Anolis sagrei: one gene and its partners. The protein of the gene in region 1 binds, or shares a complex with, the protein of each later gene. Links are inferred from orthologs where the notes say so. Each region holds a gene or a part of one and is shown in the gene's direction. Other genes may lie near its edges.

Region 1 (7,978 bases):
CCCGCAATGAAGCCTAGTCTGCCCCAGTGATCCTGGTCCCCTTTGCTAGGAAATCCACCCATACTACTCTGTGCTGGTCCCAAAATACTGTGAGCATGACCTTGCCTGATGAGAGTTGGGCACGTGCCTTTGGAGGCGGGGAGTCAGGATGCTTCCATTGCATCGACTGGACTTTAGTCTCAGGGTCAGAGTGATGGACCCAGCTTTCACCTTGTGTGATCAGTCTGTTGAAAAAGTCCTTCTGGTTTCCATGGCACATCATTGACAATAGACACAACGAGCATTCGGCTCATTCCTGCATCTGGAAAGGTGAGCAGCTGGGGACGCAGCGAGTGGATCCTTTATGCATGGGAAGATGGTCTTGGGTGATTTTTTTCCACGGACCCCACACTCATCTTGACATTTTGGGCTAGGTGGCGAATGGTTACGTGGCGATTTTCCAAAATGGTGACCTCCACTTGCTGGATGGTGTGTTCATCAAGAGCAGAGTGCGGTCGCCCTAGAATTGGAGCTGTTTGCACCGAAGTCTGACCACATTGGAACCAAGGATGCCAGTTCTTGACTCCATCTTGTGATGAGGAAGCATCACCATAAACCTCTTCCATCTCATTGAACGTCTCCTTTGGTGTGTGGCCTTGCAAGAAAAGGAACTTGAGGACTGCTCTGCACTTCAGCACCTGTCACATCAAGACCGTTCTCAGTTCTGAGTTGTAAATTGGCATGTCACCTTTAGAGACTTATATCATTGCACATGGGTAGTTTCAGTGTCCTGTGATCAATAGAAGTGGGTCAGGGGAAATCTTTCTTGAACACCACTCATATAATTAGCCCTTTCTTCAGTCCACAATGGAATGGACAATGCCAGTTCTTGAATCCGTCATATGATGGCGAATCATCCCCATAAACCTCTTTCATCTCATCAAACGTCCCCTTTGGTGTGTGGCCTTGCAAGAAAAGGAACTTGAGGACTACTCTATCTGCCACTGGGTCCATTCTCAAACCTCACACCACTTCAGCACCTGTCACATCAAGACTGTTCTCAGTTCTGAGTTGTAAATTGGCACGTCACCTATAGAGACTATCATTGCACATGGGCGGTTTCAGTGTTCTGTGATAAATAGAAGTGGGTCAGGGGAAATCTTTAATGAACGCCCCTCGTATATCCATATATATGGTCATTGCAGGGTTTGGCATCGTCTTCCACCATTTCCCAGCATCCCTTCTGCAAAGGAGGATGGAAGTTGTCATCCAGCAGCACGTGGATGGCTGTAGTTTTCTCTGTTGATCTCTCAATATTTTTAATCCATTCTAACCTTTGAAACCTTCTGCCTTACTAGAGAAAACTCTGGGACTTCCTTTTCCAGAAAATCAAGCAGATAGCCTTCCTATTGCCTTTCTTCCCTTTGCACAAAGTCTCCTGGAGAATGCAGTTGTCCTTTTCCCCCAACTTTGGTTTCATTTTTACTGGGTTGCTTTTTAAAAAGAAGTGAAAGTCGATAATTTTCATCCGAACTCTGGTGTTTTCTTTTGGGGATTTGCTTCTCTTATACCAGTGTTTCTCAACCTTCCTAATGCCGCGACCCCTTAATACAGTTCCTCTTGTTGTCTTGACCCCCAACCATAACATTATTTCCGTTGCTACTTCATAACTGTAATTTTGCTCCTGTTATGAATCGTAATGTAAACAGGATGTATTTTCATTCACTGGACCAAATTTGGCACAAACATCTGATACGTCCAAATTTGAATACTGGTGGGGTTGGGAGGAAATAGATATTGTCATTTGGGAGTTGTATTTGCTGGGATTTATAGTTCACCTACAATCAGAGAGCATTCTAAACTCCACCGATAGAAATGAACCAAACTTGGCACACAGAACTCCTTTGACCAACAGAAAATACTGGAAGGGTTTGGTGGGCATTGACCTTGTGTTTTTGAGTTGTAGTTCGACTACATCCAGAGAGCACTGTGGACTCAGACAATGATGGATCTGAACCAAACTTGGCACAAATACACAATATGTCCAAATGTTAACACTGGTGGAGTTTGGGGAAAATAGACCTTGATATGTGGGAGTTGCTGGGATTTACAGTTCACCTACAATCAAAGAGCACTCTGATCCCAGTCCACAATGGATCTTCACCAAACTTGACAAATTACATAAACAGCCAACATTGAATATTTATAGGGTGGGGGCTGTTTCTGAATTCTGGGATTTGTAGTTCACCAACACCAAAAAGGAAGAGAAGAACAGGTGGAGAGATCGCCAGCCTTTTCTGCCAAAAGGGTTCCTAAGGCTTTTTGTTTTCTGATGGTCTTTGGAGGCCCCTCTGAAACCCCTCTCATGACTCCCCCAGGGATCCTGACCCCCAGGTTGAGAAATACTGTCTTATAAAGATGCAAAATTAACACTCATACCATCACTGAATTGCAGAGGTATAGGATGGGGGACACCAGGCTTGGAAACAATGCAAATGAAAGGGATTGAGGAGAGTCAAGACAGTGATGCAGCAGCGTAAAAGGCCAATGCGATTCTCAGGTTGGGATAGATGGCCTTTGGGGTGCCTTCAAGTGCTAACGGAATATATGCCTGGGAACCCAGTGAAGTCGCTTTCTCAGGAGGTTTCCAAGCAGAGGCTGAATGGCCATCTGTTGGGAGGGCTTGGACTATGTCTTGCAAGGCAGAAGGGGGCTGGCCTTTGGAATATGCCTTCCAGATATATGATTGTATAAATTGTCAGGATAGAAGCATTCAGAATGGAATGGCTAATTAGGGAGCCTCCATACCTGGAGGTCATTAAGTTGGGGCTGGATGGCCATCTGTCAGGAGGGCTTGGATTGTGTCTTTATGGTAGAAGGGGGTTGGAATAGAGGGCCTTTGGGGGACCCTTTCAAATACATTATAGTATACATTTTAAGGATGGAAACATTCACAATGGAATGGCTGGTGATGGCCATCCAGTCCAACCCCCTCCTGCCCTGCAAGGCACCAGCCAAGCCTTAGCAACAGATGGCCATCCAGCTCCAACTTCAGGATCTCCAAAGATGGAGACTCCATCACCAGCCACTGCATTGGGAATGTTTCCATCCTGAACATTTATATCCAGAAGGTTTCCTCCAAAAACCATCTATACCAACCCCCTTCTGCTATACAGGAATGGCTTGAATGATGTCTTCCTATATAGCAGAAGGGGGTTGGTATAGATGGTCTTTGGAGGAAACCTTCTGGGTAGAAGAGTCGATTAATGTTCAGGATGGAAATATTCCCAATGGAGTGGCTGGTGATGGAGTCTCCATTTTTGGAGGTCATGAAGTTGGGGCTGGATGGCCATCTGTCACTAAGGCTTGACTGGTGCCTTGCAGGGCAGGAGGGGGTCAGACTGGACGGCCTTTGGAGGTCCCTCCCATCTCTGGGGTTCCTTTGCAAAAGTTCTTTGCGCCTTATAGGAGGAGGCAGAGGAAAGGAGAACTTGCCCCAGTCATTGCACCTTTGGAGAGGTCGGGTGCCTCTTCTTTTCATGAAGTTGGGGCTGGATGGCCATATGCCAGGATGGCTTGGATGGCGTCTTCCTATATAGCAGAAGGGGGTTGGTATAGATGGCCTTTGGAGGAAACCTTCTGGATAGAAGAGTCAATAAATGTTCAGGATGGAAACATTTCCAATGGAGTGGCTGGTGATGGAGTCTCCATCTTTGGAGGTCGTGAAATTGGGTCTAGATGGCCACCTGCCACGATGGCTTGGATGGTGTCTTCCTGTATAGCAAAAGGGAGTTGGTACAGATGGTCTTTGGAGGAAACCTTCTGGATATAAGAATCGATTAACGTTCAGGATGGAAACATTCCCAATGGAGTGGCTGGTGATGGAGTCTCCATCTTTGGAGGTCGCGAAGTTGGGGCTGGGTGGCCATCTGTTGCTAAGGCTTGGCTGGTGCCTTGCAGGGCAGGAGGGGGTCAGACTGGATGGCCTTTGGAGTTCCCTCCCATCTCTGGGGTTCCCCTCTCCTTTCACAAACTTTGCAAAAGTTCTCTGCGCCTTGTAGGAGGAGGCAGAGGAAAGGGGAACTTCTCCCAGTCGTTGCGCCTTTGGAGAGGTCGGGTGCCTCTTCTTTTCATGAAGTTGGGGCTGGATGGCCATCTGCCAGGGTGGCTTGGATGGTGTCATCTGTCAGGAGGGCTTGAGTGGTGTCTTCCTATATAGCAGAAGGGGGTTGGTACAGAGGGTCTTTGGAGGAAACCTTCTGGATATAAGAGTCGATAAATGTTCAGGATGGAAACATTCCCAATGGAGTGGCTGGTGATGGAGTTTCCATCTTTGGAGGTCATGAAGTTGGGACTGGATGGCCATGTGTTGCTAAGGCTTGGCTGGTGCCTTGCAGGGCAGGAGGGGGTCGGACTGGATGGCCTTTGGAGGTCCCTCCCATCTCTGGGGTTCCTTTGCAAAAGTTCTTTGCGCCTTATAGGAGGAACTTGTCCCAGTCATTGCACTTTTGGAGAGGTCGGGTGCCTCTTCTTTTCATGAAGCTGGATGACCATCAGCCAGGATGGCTTGGATGGTGTCATCTGTCAGGAGGGCTTGGGTGGTGTCTTCCTGTATAGCAAAAGGGAGTTGGTAGATGGTCTTTGGAGGAAACCTTCTGGATATAAGAGTCGATTAATGTTCAGGATGGAAACATTCACAACGGAGTGGCTGGTGATGGAGTCTCCATCTTTGGAAGTCATGAAGTTGAGACTGGATAGTCATCTGTTGCTAAGGCTTGCCTTGTATCTTTCAGGGCAGGAGGGGGCTGGACTGGATGGCCTTTGGAGGTCCCTCCCATCTCTGGGATTCCCCTCTCTTTGGCAAACTTTGCAAAAGTTCTCTGCGCCTTGTAGGAGGAGGCAGAGGAAAGAGGAACTTGCCCCAGTCATTGCGCCTTTGGAGAGGTCGGGTGCCTCTTCTTTCTGCGTCTCTCTTCTCCAAACCGGGGGGAAAGGAAGGGAAGGAGGGGCAGGAAGGGACGTAGCCGGCGGCCCGGACTAGCCCTGCCCTGCTGCTGGGAGCCCTTCCCGGCCGGATCCCTGCCCTCTGGCCCCTTCGCCCCTTCCCCTCCCTTTCTCCCTCCGGAGTGCCAAAGGAGGAGCAGCCATGGGGCGCATCGAGTGGGCCATGTGGGCCAACGAGCAGGCGCTGGCTTCGGGGCTGAGTGAGTCTTTGCAAAGTCGGGGGCTTGTTTCCTTGTTGTTGGGGGAGGAGACCTAGGCATCAATAGAGGGGAGGGGGGTCCAAAGACCCACCCAAAGACAGCCCAAAGGAATGCGCTTTGGCACCACTTGGAGAGCCAGGGCGCAAAGCTATGGACATCAAGAGCACTTGCAGCTTGGCAAAACTTTTTGGTTTGATGGCGACCCATCAAGCCACATTCCCCCACATGATCCCCATAGCACAAACCCATAGGATAGTGTTTCTCAACCTTCCTCATGCCACGACCCCTTAATACAGTTCCTCATGTTGTGGTGACCCCCAACCATAACATTATTTTTGTTGCTACTTCATAACTGTTATGTTGTTACTGTTATGAATTGTCGTGTAAATATCTGATTTGCAGGATGTATTTTCATTCACTGGACCAAATTTGGCACAAATACTTGATACGTCAAAATCTGAATACTGGTAGGGTTGGGGGAGGGATTGATTTTGTCATTTGGGAGTTGTAGTTGCTGGGATTTATAGTTCACCTACAATCAAAGAACATTCTGAACTCTACCAATGATGGAATTGAACCAACTTGGCAAACAGAATACCCATATACAACAAAAAATACTGGAAGGGTTTTGTGTGCAGTGGCCTTGTGTTTTGGAGTTGTAGTTCTCCTACATCCAGAGAGCACTGTGGACTCAAACGACGGATCTGGAACATACATGGCATGAATACTCAATATTTCCAAATGTGAATACTGGTAGAGTTTGGGGAAAATAGACCTTGACATTTGGGAGTTGTAGTTGCTGGGATTCATAGTTCACCTACAATCAAAGAACATTCTGAACCCCACCAACATTGGAATTGAACCAATTTGGCAAACAGAATACCCATATACAACAAAAAAATACTGGAAGGGTTTGGTGTGCAGTGGCCTTGAGTTTTGGAGTTGTAGTTCACCTACATCCAGAGAGCACTGGTGGGCTCAAACAATGATGGATCTGGACCAAACTTGGCATAAATACTCAATATTTCCAAATGGAGTTTGGGGAAAATAGACCTTGACATTTGGGAGATGTAGTTGCTGGGATTTATAGTTCACCTACAATCAAAGAGCATTCTGAATCCCACTAATGATAGAATTTGGCCAAACTTCCCACAGAGAACCCCCACGACCAACAGAAAATACTGTGTTTTCTGGTGGTCTTTGGTGACCCCTCTGACACCCCCCTCACGACCCCCCTAGGGGTCCTGACCCCCAGGTTGAGAAACGCTGCTATAGGAGTTCAAGTGATGCCAAACTGCATTAATTCTACAGTGCGGATGTGCACAAAATGCTCATTGTTTCATATCTTCCTTTCTGTGCATTTTGTCTCCAAACAGCAACTTTGGGCATGACTCTTTGAAGTGCTCCATTCTGTGAAGTTGTAGTATTCCAAGGCTTTTGAGCCTTTTCCTGCCGAAAGAGCAATTAATTTATCGTGTCAGAAGCACATTGAGGGTACAGTTAAAATGCATTTAAAGTTGTTTTTTTTTAAAAAAAAAAAAACGTGGCATGATGCTAAATGGGTTGTTGTGATTTTCCAGGCTGTATGGTCATGTTCCAGCAGCATTCTCTCCTGATGTTTCGCCTGCATCTGTGGTAGGCGTCCTCAGAGGTTGTGAGGTCTGACAACCTCTGAGGATGCCTGCCATAGATGCAGGCGAAACGTCAGGAGAGAATGCTGCTGGAACATGGCCATACAACCCAGAAAACTCACAACAACCCAGTGATTCCAGCCACGAAAGCCTTCAACAATACATTATGTGAAATGTTGTTTGATCAGAAGCTGGCCTCTTGGAATGCCTTTGGTTTTGCTGTGAGAAGGTCCTCCGTTGTACATGTGGCAGGGCTCAGGCCACACTGTAATAGGTGGTCTGTGATTTGCTGTTCTCCACACTCGCATGTCATGGACTTAACTTTGTGGCCCCATTTCTTAAAGTTAGCTCTGCATCTCGTGGTGCCAGAGCACAGCCTGCTCAGTGCCTTCCAAGTCTCCCAGTCTTCTGTGTGTTCAGGAGGGTGTCTCTCATTTGGTCTCAGCCACTAATTAAGGTGCTGGGTTTTAGCCTGCCACTTTTGGACTCTCGCTTGCTGAGGTGTTCCTGCAAGTATCTTTGTAGACCTTAGGAAGCTGTTTCTTGAATTAAGGCATTGGCATGCTGGCTTGATATCTGAACAGAGGATAGACTGGAGATGTCACTGCCTTGGTCCTTTCATTTCTGGCTGCTACTTCCCGGCAGATATCAGGTGGTGCAATACCGGCTAAACAGTATAATTTCTCCAGTGGTGTAGTGCATAGACGTCCTGCAATAATGCACCATGTTTCATTAAGAGCCACATCAACTGTTTTGACATGGTGTAATGTTTTCCACACTGGGCATTCGTATTCAGCAGCGGAGTAGCCAAGTGCAAGGGCAGGTGTCTTCACTGTGTCTAGTTATGATCCCCAGGTTGTGCCAGTCAGCTTCCATACGATATTATTTCTAGCACCCATTTTTTGCTTGCTGGTAAAGCAGTGTTTCTTGTAAGTCAGGGCACAGTTCAGGGTCACTCCCAGGTGTCTGGGTGTGCTGCAATGCTCCAGTGGGATTCCTTCCCAGGTCATCCTCAGAGTTCGGGATGCTTGTCTGTTCTTAAGGTGAAAAGCATATGTCTGTGTTTTGGATGGATTAGGAATCAGTTTTCCCTGTAAAAGGCAGTAAGAGAACCTAAAGCTTTGGAGAGTTTTTGTTCAACCATTTCAAAGCTCCCTGCTTGAG
Region 2 (7,445 bases), on another chromosome or scaffold:
CATATGCGAGTTGTAGTTACTGGGATGTATAGTTCACCTACAATCAAAGAACATTCTGAACTCCACCATTGATGGAATTGAACCAAATATGGCACACAGAACTCCCATGACGAACAGAAAATATATATCAGTGATTGGTTGGGGGCGGGGGTGTGTGTGTGTGTGCAAAATACTGTTTGCTTACCGTTGAAAATTACCTAGGGCCACCTCTGCCTTCAAGGTCAATCCAGTCACTTCAAGGATGCCATCCATCCATCTTGCCCTTGGTCGGCCCCTCTTCCTTTTTCCTTCCATTTTCCCCAGCATCATTGTCTTCTCTAAGCTTTTCTTTCTTCTCATGATGTGGGCAAAGTACTTCATCTTGGCCTCTACTATTCTTCCCTCCAATGAGCAGTCAGGCTTTATTGGATCTTCTCGCTGTCCAAGGCACTCTCAGAATTTCCTCCAACACCACAGTTCAAAAGCATCATAGAATCAAAGAGCTGGACGAGACCTCATGGGCCATCCAGTCCAACCCCCTGCCAAGAAGCAGGAATATTGCATTCAAAGCACCTCTGACAGATGGCCATCCAGCCTCTGTTTAAAAACTTCCAAAGAAGGAGCCTCCACCACACTCTGGGGCAGAGAGTTCCACTGCTGAACGGATCTCACAGTCAGGAAGTTCTTCCTCATGTTCAGATGGAATCTCCTTTCTTGTAGTGTGAAACCATTGTTTCGTGTCCTAGTCTCCAGGGAAGCAGAAAACAAGCTTGCTCCCTCCTCCCTGTGGCCTCCTCTCACATATTTATACATGGCTATCATATCTCCTCTCAGCCTTCTCTTCCACGTCTCTCTGGCTGCAAAAGGTCCACTGTATTTCCCTGTACCCCAGGCTCCAAAGTAGGACAAGGCCACATCTCTCTGGCCACTAAAGGCACGCTGCCTCACTATTTCAATGTCTCCCAGGCTCCAAGTGGGACTAGGCCGCGTCTCTCCATCGACACCATGTTTGTTGTTGTTCTTCTGACAGGACTGAGTTACCCTGTAGAAGAGCAGGATGTTTCTAGACAGGCTTAGAACAGGACACTTCACTACTGGCTGTTAAGAACTGTGGGAGTTGGGAGTCCAAAACACCTACGAGTCTGGCCTCAAAACCGGCATGGCTGACTTCGGCTGTTGGTTGTCAGCAATGGTCTGTTTCAGAATTACGGCATCCATGAGGCCCTTTGTCCTTTCAACAGGCCCTTCTCCAAATAGGCCTCTTTCTTGGGACGCAAAACGCCCGCCGTCCCTCCATTTTGTTGCTATTGAGGGTACAAGTGAGCCTAGGCTGCGTCTCTCTGGCTGCATCTATCTTCCTTCGCTCAGTCTTCCCTATGGTCCAGCTCTCACATCCATAGGTAACTATGTGGAATACCATTGCTTTTACTATGCGGATCTTTGTTGCCAGTGTGATGTCTCTACACTATTTTATCAAGTCCTTTACTAGCGACTCTGAGATTGTTTCCCCTCAGACTGGTATAAAATCCACATTGAGCTGGGTTATATGGCAGTGTGGACTCAGATAATCCAGTTCAAAGCAAATATTGTCGATTACCTCGTGTTTAAAAGATGTTAACTTGCGCAATACTGCAGCAGCTTCCTTTTTATATATAGCTTCTTACCACAGGTAGGCCGGGTTTGACCCATCACTGACTCTTGAAATCTTCACTAGAGATCCTGAGTTAACACATCTTTTCCATCTTCATAGCTATGATACTTCATCTTGCTGATGGGAAGCTTCCCACCGGAGTGGAAATCATCTATCAGACAGCTATTTAACCTCAGCAGACTGAAAGCCAAAACCAAGGTTACAACAACATTTATTATAGAACTCCAGTATGTTGATGACAACGTTGTCTGTGCGCATTCAGAAGACCTACAAGTCACTCTAAATACCTTTGCAGAAGCATACGAGCAGCTCGGCCTGTCATTAAACATCGAGAAAACCAGTGCTCTTCCAGCAGTCACCAGCCAGTCCCTCTCCAATGCCAGAAATACAGCTTAATGGTGTAACACTAGAAAATGTCGACCATTTCCGCTACCTTGGCAGCCACTTCTCCACAAAAGTCAACATTGACACTGAAGTACAACACTGCCTGAGCTCTGCGAGTGCAGCATTTTTCTGAATGAAGCAGAGAGTGTTTGAGGACCGGGACATCCGTAGGGATACCAAGGTGCTTGTTTATAAAGCTATTGTCCTCCTAACTCTGCTATATGCCTGTGAGATATGGACTATCTACAGACGTCACATGCAACTCCTGGAACGATTCCATCAGTGCTGCCTCCGGAAAATCCTGCAAATCCCTTGGGAAGACAAGCGGACAAATGTTGGAAGAAGCATGCTGGAAGAAGCAAAGACCACCAGCATTGAAGCGATGGTCCTCTGCCATCAACTCCGCTGGACCGGCCACGTTGTCCGAATACCCAACCACCATCTCACAAAGCAGTTTCTCTACTCCGAACTCAAGAACGGAAAACGGAATGTAGGACAGGAAAAAAGATTTAAAGATGGGCTCAAAGCCAACCTTAAAAACTCTGGCATAGACACTGAGAACTGGTAAGCCCTGGCCCTTGAGCGCTCTAATTGGAGGTCAGCTGTGACCAGCAGTGCTGTAGAATTTGAAGAAGTATGAATGGAGGGCGAAAGAGAGAAACGTGTCAAGAGGAAGGTGCATCAAGCCAACCCCGACCAAGACCACCTTCCACCTGGAAACCAATGCCCTCACTGTGGGAGAAGATGCAGATCAAGAATAGGGCTCCACAGTCACCTACGGACCCACCAGAACACTGATCCTGGAAGACTATCCTACTCAGCCAATGAGGGATTGCCTAAGAGAGGAAGAATTTGGGAGGTGGGCTAGTTGTTAATCCAACTCACAAGCAAAAAAGTAGATAATAGTATTCTATGGAAGTACCAGTTGGGCAACTTGCTTGTGAAGTCGGTAGGAAGTTTAGGAGGGTCGTCTCCAGGAGGAGGGACCCTGAGACCCCACCAAAGAGGGATCGCTACTTTGGCGAGCTAGAGAAGCCTGATTTCAGCCAATTTATTAAATTAAAAAATTCAAAATAAATCTCACCAAAGTTGAAGAAGTGGCACTGAGGTGTTTTTATTAGTGATTCAGCTGAAAAGGATGCAATGTAGCAATCATTCGCCTACAAATCATGCCAGTACAAAGATCAGAGACATTTTTATAATAAGGTTTACAGGCTTAGAAGTTTCAAAATTCCCGCCCTCCGCCCTGATGATTGGCTGACGTGATTCCAGCTGGGAGGGGGCCAAAGCCAACTACAGAGCTCCTCCGCTGTGCAGGAACCAATTGGAGAGCTCCTACCGCCTCAGCGCTCCGGCGAATCAGGAGAGGGGAGGTGGGACGAAGAAGAAACAATGGGTTCATGAATGGATTAATGGATTTCATGCCTGGGGGAATCCTGAGTCTGAGACTTCAGCCTGCAAAGGATGCCAGTCTATTGTCTTTTGATGGGTCTTGTTGATTACTTTATCCGGGTCTTCCTGCCCGCCAGAGAAATTGATTAAAATAATAATTTTGATAAAACATGTGTCCATAGTTCATACTGGGGAAGTTCAAACGTGAAAATAAGTTCATTAGAGCCAAAAATGATGTGTAGGAAGTCCAATAGTCAGAAAAGGAGCTGGGTGATTTCCATTGAGCCAAGGAAGGGATTCTTGCAGCGCCAAGATCAAGCTGGTCCTTAGTCCTTGGAAAACTATAACTCCCTCCAAGGACTGGGGCCTCAAGGCCAGGCTCTTCCCTGAAAGCCTCATGGGGTCCTTGTTGTTGTTAGTGTCTTTGACAAATTGACCAAGACTTAACCCCTTTGTGCAATCTGGTACCCTTGCCCTTTGCAGAACTATAAGTTACCATCCCTTATTGGGGGGACGGACGGACATGCTCGACTTCACTTGTGTTTAAAAGATGTTAACTTGAGCAATCCTGCAACAGCTTCCTTTTTATGTATAGCTTCTTACCACAGAGAGGCCGGGTTTGACTCTTGAAATCTTCACGACAGATCCCGAGTTAACACATCATGAAAGGGAAGCCCAATGATTTTATTTTAAGACTCTTATGGAAAGTGAAATTCAGAAAAAGGAAGGCGTGACTGCAGTCGCATGATGAGAAGTCAACGTCAGACAGTGCAAGCAACCTGAGCAGAGGATCACAGACAATGCTCTGTCCTGAAAGCAGCTTCTTCTTTGGGCAATCTTCCAGCCCGTGTGGCATTACTTCCTCTGTCAAGCCTGGCCCCTCTTTCAGTTATGAGTTCAGTGATGAGACTTCCTGGTCTGTTTGCAATTGCAACACTGGTGAGCTTCGAGAGGGGGAGCAGAATGCATACCTGATGTGCAAGGGGAGCTTGCCTGGTGGATTGTGAGAGCCCCTTGCTTGCAACTGAATAGATTCCAGTTTGGCCATGGCCCTTGTAGAGACAATTCGACTGTGGAGTGAAGGGGTGTCTGCAGCTGACCGCAAAGACTGGCCGGCTGCTCTGTCTGCCTTCACTTCGGTTCCAAATCCTTCCTCCAAAATCTGCTTTAACATTGGCTGCACCCACCTGGTCATGGGGAATTTGGATGAGGCACAGCAGGTAGGTGGCCAAGAAAACTGAAATATTCTCCCCAAAAGCAGCTTAACAAGCCCAACAAGTAAACCTGGATGGCTGCAGGAGTCCTTCCATGGAACTAGTAGGGAGAGATGGGAAAAGAAGCCATTTAAAAACAGGTTAGCTGTGTCCCTGTTATTAAGTCAGGATTTCTGAGCTGCTGTTGGTTTGTGGAAGGCTTTCATGGCTGGAATCACTGGGTTGTTGTACGTTTTTCGGTCCATATGGCCATGTTCTAGAAGTCCGTCGTTTCGCCTAACAACCTCGGGGGATGCTTGCCATAGATGCAGGCGAAACGTCACGAGAGAATGCTTCTAGAACATGGCCATATAGCCCGAAAAAACCTGCAACAACCTGCTCTTGGTTTGATTGGTGAATGACCAAAAAAATATGGACTGCTAGCTAAACTTACTTGTTTTCCTTCCCTGTTCCTACTCTATTTCCTTTTTCATTTTCAAATGGCAGGGGGTTACAACAGATTTAGGGGTGTGCGAAACATTCTGGTTTCAATGTATTGTCAAAGGCTTTCATGGCCGGAATCACTGGGTTGTTGTAGGTTTTTCCAGGTTATATGGCCATGTTCTAGAGGCATTTTCTCCTGACGTTTCGCCTGCATCTATGGCAAGCATCCTCAGAAATAGTGAGGTCTGTTGGAAGTAGGAAAATGGGTTTATATATCTGTAGAATGGCCAGGGTGGGACAAAACTCTTGTCTGCTGGAGCTAGGTGTGAATGTTTCAACTGACCACCTTGATTAGCATTTGATGGCTTGGCAGTGCCTGGGGGAATCTTTTGTTGAGAGGTGATTAGATGTGCCTGATTGTTTACTCTCTGTTGTTTTGCTGTTGTAATTTTAGAGTTTTTTAATATTGGTAGCCAGATTTTGTTCATTTTCATGGTTTCCTCCTTTCTGTTGAAATTGTCCACATGCTTGTGGATTTCAATGGCTCTTCTGTGTAGTGTGACGTGGTCTAGCATTTCTGTGTTCTCAAATAATATGCTGTGTCCATGTTGGTTCATCAAGTGATCTGCTATGACTAACCTTTCTGGTTGAAGTAGTCTGCAGTGCCTTTCATGTTCCTTGATGCGTGTCTGGGCAATGCTGCGTTTGGTGCTCCCTATGTAGACGTGTCCACAGCTGCATGGTACACGGTAGACTCCTGCAGAAGTGAGAGGATCCCTCTTGTCCTTTGCTGAACGTAGCATTTGCTGGATTTTCTTGGTGGGTCTGTAGATAGTTTGTATGTTGTGTTTCCTCATCAGCTTCCCAATGCGGTCAGTGGTTCCCTTGATATATTGCAAGAACACTTTTCCTCAGGGTGGATCTTTGTCTTGACTCTCATGGCTTGTTCTCGTGGCTTGTTTATATAGACTAGCCGTCCCCTGCCAGGCCTTGCTGTGGCCCAGTCTGGTGATCTGGAAAATAAAGTAATGAGAAAGCATTGGTTTCTAATATATGTAATTTTTTTATGCTTGTGGGTAAACAGTATTTCTTATTGTTTCTTTGTCAGTGTTAATGTGAAGATTGTCTGGTTTGCCTACTCTGGAACATGCAACATATTGTCCTTCTTTAGGAGTCCCTTTCAAATCTATGATACTATATCTCTGTGTGTGTGAATCACATCTATCTATATTTATGGCTGGATGGCTCTTTGTCATGAGGGCTTTGATTATGTTTTCTTGCCCTGGTGAAGGGAGTTGGACTGGATAGCATTGAGTATTTTCTCTTGGTCATGGAGGTTCTGTGTGGGAAGTTTGCCCCAATTCTGTCATTGGTGGGGTTCAGAACAATCTTTGATTGTAGGTGAACTATATCCCAGTAACTACAACTCCCAAATGTCAAGGTCTATTTCCCCCAAACCCCATCTGTGTTCATATTTGGGCATATGGAATATTTGTGCCAAGTTTGGCCCAGGTCCAGATCCATCATTGGTTGAATCCATGGTACTCTCTGAATATAGGTGAACTACAACTCCCAAACTCAAGCTCAATGCTCACCAAACCCTTCTGGTGTTTTCTATTCTTCATGGGAGTCCTTTATGCCCCGTTTGGTTCAATTCTATCCTGCTATTTGATTGTAGGTGAACTATAAATCCCAGCAACTACAACTCCCAAAAGACAAAATCAAAAAATTTTGAGTGAAGGATACATTGGGTTGTTAGGTGTATGCTGTCCAAATTTGTTGTCAATTCGTCCAGTGGGTTTTGAGTTATGTTAATACCACAAACGACTGTTACATTTTTATTTATATAGATTGTGCCCCATCAGTTTGTGCTGGCAATGCCTGGCAACCCAGAAGTCCCAAACTGCTGTATCTATAATACTTTTCAAGAGGTATTATTTTTGCTTCCTTCAGGCCTTTACCAGGAGTACCAACAATGACAGACACTTAGCAGTGGCATATTTCCAGCGAGGAATTGTGGCGTACCAGATGGAAAAGTGAGTTGTAACATATTGGGCACCTTAAAAAAGGAGCGGAATGTTTTCTTATTCTGTTGTTCATCCTTGCAACCACTTTCTCCTTAATCTGTTAGAACAGTGCTATGTTTAGTTTCCTATTTTGCAAACCTTATGTACCAGCATGTACCAACAGAAGATTCTCGGATCCATATAAATTGTACAGCTCAGTGCTGTTTTTTAATGCAGAGAGAGACATAGCTGCCCACACAAAACCGTGAAAGTTATTTCTGTGTGTATGTGTCTCTTTCTTAAAAGAATTGGGAATTTAATGTGGCAGACCAGTTCCCTCCTTCATATCAAATTCCCAAATGTTACTTCTATTTTTCCATTTATGGTATATAAATG
Region 3 (7,967 bases), on another chromosome or scaffold:
GTAGGGCCAGCGTTGTCTCATTTATAGCACGAGTAATAATGTGTGTGTAGTCTATCTCACTGGAATGCATGTTATTATCACTGAATGTTTTTTGTTTGGGTGCCTTTTTTGGCATATCTATTATGTTGTTGTTATCACCCATTTAGGGATGTATGGTGTGAACCACCCACTTTCAAAAAGAAGACAAACCCTGAAGAAGGTGAAGTCCCCCGAAACAAGGCAACCTCAACCCGGGGATCCTTGTCGTATCATCATTTGGATTATATTTTGAACTGGATATCATTTGGACTTAATTTAGACAGTATTTGAAGATAATTTACTGTCTCAAGGACTACAAGATAACTAAGTAACATTCAGTTTTGTTTTGTGATTCATGTGCAGTGTATTTACACGCTTTATGTTAACACAGTTCTGCTTTGACAACCCTTATTTTTCCCTGTCAATCTTATATTGGATACTAATCCCTATCAAACCCATCTAAGTGGCCATTGGTGGGGGACTATGGAAGAGGCAGCATGTTAACATCTGGAAGGTCACATATTCTGCAGCCATTGTTAGTTGTTGATCAAAGGGGCAGAAACACATAACATCAGGTACCACATTCCCAGTGACTATGTAAAGACTTATACTTTTACCCTTGGTTCTGGCAATGACCTGATCTCACCATTACCAAAAAGCAGAGTGTAGGAATAGGGCCAGCAATAGTGGCCTCAGGCCCCAGTGAATTTCGTTTCTCACTTCAGGTCCACCACCTGTTCACCAGCAGCAACATGATATGTGGAGGCCATGAATCAAATTTTCTATCTTTGCCCTCATTCCTGGGAGGGTTTGCTTGGAAAAAGTTCCTGTTTTTATGTTTATGGATTTATGTTTGACTGACTGCCGTGGATTTTGGCTCTCTTAATTTCATGTACTTTGCCATTTGTGAATTGCTGCTATTTTGTATCTTTTACATCCCTACCATTTTTATCTTTTACATTCCTGCCCCTTTTCCCAAGAAAGCAGGAATGCTGTGAAAAGCTTTGTCAACCTCGTGGTATTTAAAGCCATTATCTATTTCCACAGTGGCAATATTGCCTTCCCATGACTCTACAACTGATTCATAATGGACAGAGGACCTGGAGTCTGTTTGGCAATTATTGGCTAATATAAAATGAAACTGCAATTATTAATTATGTGATAATTAAATGTTAAGTAGGGCATGGTAGTGATTAATGAAAGCCATTATTGAAATAACCAAGCAATTCCTGATGTAATGTTACTGATGGTAAAATATAGCACATCACTTTTTAAATAAATAAAGCTCCAAGATGCCCCTTCTTTGCACCATAGACTTGCTGTTTTGTCTTCTAGGTCTGATAGGTGTGTGAACATCTTGATCAAGGTTGACAACTGTTGTCCTCCAGATGTTTTTGGACTGCAGTTACCATAACCCCTTATTGTTGTTAGCTAGGGTTGAAGGGAATGGTAGTCCAAAAGCATCTAGAGGGCCACAGCTGCTAACATAAAAGGGGAAAGTGCCTAACTCAAAAAATGGATCACAGGTTTGCATAAAATCTACATACATATCCTACAGTATATACTCATGAATAAGTCTAGAAATTTTAATAAAAAATCAACTGAAAAACTGGGTTGATTTATCCATAGGTTAATGTGAATGCGGCAAAAGGAAGAGGGGCCGACCAAGGGCAAGATGGATGGATGGCATCCTTGAAGTGACTGGACTGACCTTGAGGGAGCTGGGGGTGGTAACGGCCGACAGGGAGCTCTGGCGTGGGCTGGTCCATGAGGTCACGAAGAGTCGGAGACGACTGAACGAATGAACAACAACAATGTGAATGCTGTAGCTTAACTCATATCAGAAAATCAACCACCCCCTTCTCTAAGCAGAGAGGCAAAAAACAATAGCTTAGTTCATTCCAGGAGAACCTAAAAGAAGAACTGACCCACTCTAAGCTCTGTGCCTTGGAACTACTTCTGGAATTTTTGAATGGTTGTATGGCCACAACTATTTATACAGGAGGTCAATTTATACAGGAGTATCTACAGTATGTTAATTTATTTGGGGATGTACAATTTAAATAGAACTATATCTCAACTACAGTGAAAAGGAAACATAGACCAGCTACACTGCAAAATTATTAAATGACACGGCCCCATCCTATGGATTCATGGGATTTGGAAGAGAAGGTTAAATATCTCACAAAACCACAAATTTCAATCTGCTATCCAGGAACTTCAAGTCTTCTTCCAGTAGAGTTATGTGTGGAAGATGGATTTGGACTGAGATGATCTTCAAATAGTGGAGGGCACCTTCAAACAGATGACTCTAATGAAGAGCAGGTGACCATCCAAGGCACAAATCATGCATGATGGCAGCAAAGTGAATGCGTTGATCCAAATACAGTGATCCTGTTGCTTTCTTTTGTATCATTATTTACTAATTATTAGTTATCTAGTGTGTCAGACAAGGAAATTATAAAGGGTGCCTCTGTGAAGATGTGACAAGATGACAAAGAAAATTGCTGTGATAGTTGTAATTGTGATTACAGGGTTAATTTTTTATGGAATTTGTTAACTGATGGATGCATATAAACTGGGTATGACAGTAGGATATGTGGATGATTCCATGACTCATTGGTAACATGTCTCTCTTGCTTCCTTGCATGCTGGTTTTCTGATTTCCTTATGATAATTGTATCTCATTTGCTATGATTGCTGAAATGTTACAGTGCAGAGTTAAGGTCATTAGAGGCTATTGAATAGCGGGTCTGGTCAAGGCTAGCCTTAATACTGGGCTGAGGAAACCACCACAGGCAGTGGTTGCTCGCGAAAAGGTGTTAAATAACAGAATTGTACATGCCACACAATCTGGCCTGTACACCCTAAGCTATTTTATTTATCGTATCAGAAGCAAACCGAGGGTTCAGGTATAATATATTTTTAAAACACAAAGTTTAAAAAACTTGGCATTATACTAAATGTCCTTTGACCAGTAACTGGCCACTTGGAGTGCCTCTGGTGTTGCTATAAGCAGGTCCTCCATTGTGCATATGGCAAGGCTTAGAAAGCATTGTAATAGGTGGTCTGTGGTTTGCTCTTCTACTCACCCGCATCTTGTGGACTCCACTTTGTGGCCTAATTTCTTAAGGTTGGGTCTGCATCTGGTGGTGCCACAGCGCAGTCTGTTTAGCACCTTCCAGCTTGCCCAGTCTCCTGGGTGCCCAGGGGGGAGTCTCGCATTCGGTATCAGCCATGGCTTGAGGCTCTGGGTTTTAGCCTGCCACTTTTGGACTCTCACTTGCTGAGGTATTCTTGCAAGTATCTCTTTAGATCTTAGAAAACTATTTCTTGATTTGAGGCATTGGCATGCTGGCTGATATCCAAACAGGGGAAAGGGTGGAGATGTCACTGCCTTGGTTCTTTCAATACTGGCTGCTACTTCCCAGCAGATGTCAGGTGGTGCAATTCCGGCTAAACAGCTTAATTTCTCCAGTGGTGTAGGGCATAGACATCCTGGGATAATGCAACATGTTTCATTAAGAGCCACATTCACTGTTTTGACATGGTGAGATGTGTTCCACAGTGGGCATTTGTACTCAGCAGCAGAGTAGCATAGCACAAGGGCAGGTGTCTTCACTGTATCTGGTTGTGATCCCCAGGTTGTGCCAGCCAGCTTTCGTATGATATTGTTTCTAGCACCCATTTTTTGCTTGATATTCAAGCAGTGCTTCTTGTAAGTCAGAGCGTGGTCCAGGGTAACTCCCAGGTATGTGGATGTACTGCAATGCTCCAGTGGGATTCCTTCTAAGCTAAGTTGCTGTACTCAACTGGAATGAAGCAGATTTTCCCTTCACCAAAGTAGTAATAAGATTTAACTGCCAGTCCTTTCACCTTTTGTATATGGACTAGGAGGACATCACCAGGTCTTCCTTTGCAGGGACCAACATATCTTGGGCTGGTATTACTGCAAGTAAGAGTATTCCTAAATTAAAGCAGGGATGGACAGCATGTAGCCTGCAGTTACAATGCAAACATTTTCTCTTCTCCCTCCCTTGAATGTCCACTACCAAAACATCTGTTGCTAGTGCTGCCCAAATTCCAACATTTATACTGGGAAACATGGAATATGAAGAGCACAAGGCTAGTTTCCTAAGTTTGCTTTACTTGTTTCTAAGTAAACCTATTTAGAAATTATGCATACAATGATTGCAATAGGAGAGGAATTCCCCCTTATGATAACTGGCCCCGTTGTAGTTCATGTCATGGCAACTACAGTATGAAGCATACTTCTGAAAAAAAGAAAACTATGTGTAATGCTTTCAAAGTTTCCTATTTCCAAGAAGAATGGTTGTGTGTTGGACAGTGGCAGAAAAAGCAGTAGCAAAAATGGCAGCAAGGGCAAATCTGCTGGCAGCAATGGAAGGATGAACCACTCAAAGCATTCCATGTACACCCACCAGTGTATCCCACCTATTCACAGGAAGATGGGCACACCTGGGTTTCATGGAAATATGAGACAATGTTGTGGACGATTTTTAAAAACTGTAATTTTCTGTATCTTAAAAAAGAAATGTATTTCTTTTGACAAGAGAAGAAAAGGTGTTTCTTCACCAAGGCTCCAGAGACAGCTATAATGGCAAGCCACTCTCACCCAGCCATCTTCTTCTCAACTGAAAGAGAAAGAGGGAAAATATCTCTTTCTGGGGTTTGTTCTTTCTCCCACTTTCCTTCTGCTCCTCTGGATGGTTCTCCTTCCTGTGTAGAAACTGCATTGCAACCTCTTTTTAGTGTCCAAAGACTAAGCCACACAGTGTGATGAAAAAGGAAGTGCTTAGCTATCTGCAGCATGCAAAGAGAGAAATATATTTGAAGCTGCACACCCTTCCCCCAGCACACAGTCAGGGCTGCCTTGGGGACTAGTGGGCGGGTTGAGAAACATTCTCTCTTCCCTTTCCTCCCTAACCCACAACCTGCTGTTCAATTCAGCTTTGGTTTTGATATAACTGTAGAACACTTCCTGCCGGCAACGTTGGTGAGCTGTTACCTTTATTCGAGAGACCTGCTGAACTCCACAGCATCGCCAGGCCACAGATATGCAAGCCATCAAGTGTGTGGTGGTCGGAGATGGGTATGTATGATGCCTTTGAGGCACAGGGGAGAGTGGGGGAAGGGCTGAGCTTTGGATGAACTTCTTGTTTCCTCTAATACCCTATTGGCTGGGTTGCATGCTCTTTCTTGCTCTATGTCCATATCTCTTTTAGAGTGGCCATGCAAGCATGAGGGGGAAGATTGATCCAAGACATCAAGGGCAGAAAAATAACATTTAACAAAAAGTGCCACAAAAAGATAGTTTCAGTTAAATGTTACTCTGGAATATGTGTTATTTCTGTGTGGCATCATCGATGACAGAATCAAGGCCAGAATACAGTTATCCCTTGCTGAGTGGTCCATGACCACTTTATGTAGTTTGGTTCTGATGAATGTTTCATATACTGCTTTGTTAAATGCAAGTGACCTCCAAAAATACGAAACAAAAATGTTGAATCTGTTGGATTAAAAGCTAGCACAGTGCAGCAAGCTCTCAAATGAAACAAAAACAAGGTGTTTGTGACCTTGCGTCGGGGCTGGTCTTTCTCTGCTTGATGATGGTAAAGAGCATATGTGACTATTCATTTTGCATGGGAAAATGAAAGCATTTGTCTTTCTGGAAGCATTTGCCATAAGCCATAAATGCACAAGGCTGCTGTGACCTGTGGAGATCTAATTCCTGATGTCAGTGTGCATAGGCTAGAGGCCAGGAGCTGACACTCAAGAGATAGGTGTAGCCCTAAGAGAAATACCCTGCTCCTGACCAACAGTTTCCAGTCCAGAAACAAAACCGGCTTGTAGCATGGAAGCAGTAGGTCTGGGATTTGTCATCAGACTGCTTTTTATGTATAGTGAGACCTTGGGCTCCCCCTTTCCCAGAGTGATCCCCTCCACTCACCCATAACTTCTTATAGGGTGGCAACCTGTTCTTGATGGGGTTGCACTCCCCCTGAAGTCACAGGTCCACAGCTTGGGTGTCCTCCTAGATTCTGCGCTAATGCTTGAAGTTCAGGTGTCGACGGTGGCTGGGAGGGCCTTCACACAATTGAAGCTCGTGCGCCAGCTATGACCGTATCTCATGAAGTCAGATTTGGCCACGGTGGTCCATGCCTTAGTTACCTCTAGATTGGACTATTGCAATGCGCTCTACGTGGGGCTGCCCTTGAAGACAGCCCAGAAATTCCAACTGGTCCAACGAGCGGCAGCCAGACTACTAACTGGTGTGAGCTACAGGGAGCGGTCAACCCCCCTGTTTAAGGAGCTCCACTGGCTGCCATTTATTTTTCGGGCCCAATTCAAGGTGCAGGTTTTGATCTACAAAGCCCTAAACAGTTTGGGGCCCGCCTACCTGCACAACCATATTTCTGTCTACGAACCCATGCGACCTCTTCGATTTTCCGTAGAGGCCCTTCTCTCGCTCCCATCTTCATCACAAGCATGACTTGTGGGAACGAGAGACAGGGCCTTCTCTGTGGTGGCCCATTGGCTCTGGAATACACTCTCCAGAGATATTAGGCCAGCCCCCACCCTGGAAATCTTTAGGAGGAGCCTGAAAACTTGGCTGTTCCAATGTGCCTTCAATGACTGAATGTATGATAATCCCTGACCAGAGGCGGCCCTAGGCAATTTTCAATGGTAAGCAAACAGTATTTTGCCCTCCCCCTCAACCAATCAGTGATATATATTTTCTGTTCGTCGTGGGAGTTCTGTGTGCCATATTTGGTTCAATTCCATCATTGGTGTTCAGAATGCTCTTTGATTGTAGGTGAACTATACATCCCAGTAACTACAACTCACATATGTCAAGGTCTATTTTCCCCCAAGAGCGCCTAAAGAGCGCCCCTGGGCAAAATCAACTATACTGCAAATGCTTACTTTGTGTAATGGGTTGAGCCGCCCCTGTCCCTGACCAAACTCTGCATAAAATGTCCTCAGACACACTTTATTCTCTGGTTTGTGCAATGAACTCTTACCTTATCCCCCGGATCCCCTTCCTGATATTTTACACTGCCCTATCTCCCAGTGTTTTAATTTTTTAATCTTTGAACTGGCCCTGTCCATTGTGTTCATTTTTAGTGGTTTAATATTTTGATTTTATATTGTTGTGCTGTATATTTACATTTTGTATTTTTGTACTTTATGTTATTTTATTTTCTGATTTTCAGTTATGTTTTTGTGTTATATTGTGTTTCTGTATTGATGGGCATGGCCTCATGTAAGCCGTCCCAAGTACCCTTTAGGGAGATGGTGGCGGGGTATAAATAAAGATGATGATGATGATGATGATGATGATGATGATGATGATGATGATTATTATTATTATTATTATTGGGAGCCTTAGTACAATGCTGCTATGTTTTGTTGAAAGAAATAAGCAGCATGTGAGAATGTTCTCTTTTCTTTACCTATAAATCACAAAATCTCGCAAACTCCCTCTGGGCAAAAAGTAGTGGAAAGGGGTATTTCAAGTGGAGGCCAACACTTTGAGAACATGACCAGTTTACAACAGGCCAAAGGCTTAGCCCTACCTCAACCTCAACGCCACAGCCGTTGACCAAAGCAGCTGTTGGCTGTGCTGAGTGGTGGATCTGGGGAGTCATTGCCCTATGGAACATAACATCCTTTTACTGGGATAGCTTGTCGTGGGTGGAGGACATTTGCAAGACTATTCATCTCCTTCCTGACAGTATTATTTGGCTGTGACTCAAAACCATGTCCTTTTCCATAAGCTGAAGTCAGCTCAGTAAGAGCTTGCAGCTTGCCTGTGGATATCACTTGCTTGCAACTCTGGGGCTCCTTTGCACAGTTAAAGCAATACAATTCCACAAACTGACATGGTTCAATCTCATAGAATCTGGGGATTTGCAATTTAGCCA

The links.
Region 2: CYBA (region 1) and NCF2 share a complex: the UniProt entries of both Homo sapiens proteins name them as parts of the phagocyte NADPH oxidase complex. The link is inferred for Anolis sagrei from reciprocal best matches to the Homo sapiens genes CYBA and NCF2.
Region 3: CYBA (region 1) and RAC2 share a complex: the UniProt entries of both Homo sapiens proteins name them as parts of the phagocyte NADPH oxidase complex. The link is inferred for Anolis sagrei from reciprocal best matches to the Homo sapiens genes CYBA and RAC2.

What each region holds. Positions count from the first base shown.
Region 1 is NC_090028.1:26,681,225-26,689,202, reverse strand, and holds the start of CYBA (cytochrome b-245 light chain), read left to right. Parts: upstream 1-4,901; 5' UTR 4,902-5,125; coding exon 5,126-5,183; intron 5,184-7,978. UniProt on the Homo sapiens protein: Subunit of NADPH oxidase complexes that is required for the NADPH oxidase activity that generates, in various cell types, superoxide from molecular oxygen utilizing NADPH as an electron donor.
Region 2 is NC_090024.1:122,473,170-122,480,614, forward strand, and holds the start of NCF2 (neutrophil cytosol factor 2), read left to right. Parts: upstream 1-4,425; 5' UTR 4,426-4,452; coding exon 4,453-4,626; intron 4,627-6,996; coding exon 6,997-7,079; intron 7,080-7,445. UniProt on the Homo sapiens protein: Subunit of the phagocyte NADPH oxidase complex that mediates the transfer of electrons from cytosolic NADPH to O2 to produce the superoxide anion (O2(-)).
Region 3 is NC_090025.1:165,897,729-165,905,695, forward strand, and holds the start of RAC2 (ras-related C3 botulinum toxin substrate 2), read left to right. Parts: upstream 1-4,884; 5' UTR 4,885-5,096; coding exon 5,097-5,131; intron 5,132-7,967. UniProt on the Homo sapiens protein: Plasma membrane-associated small GTPase which cycles between an active GTP-bound and inactive GDP-bound state.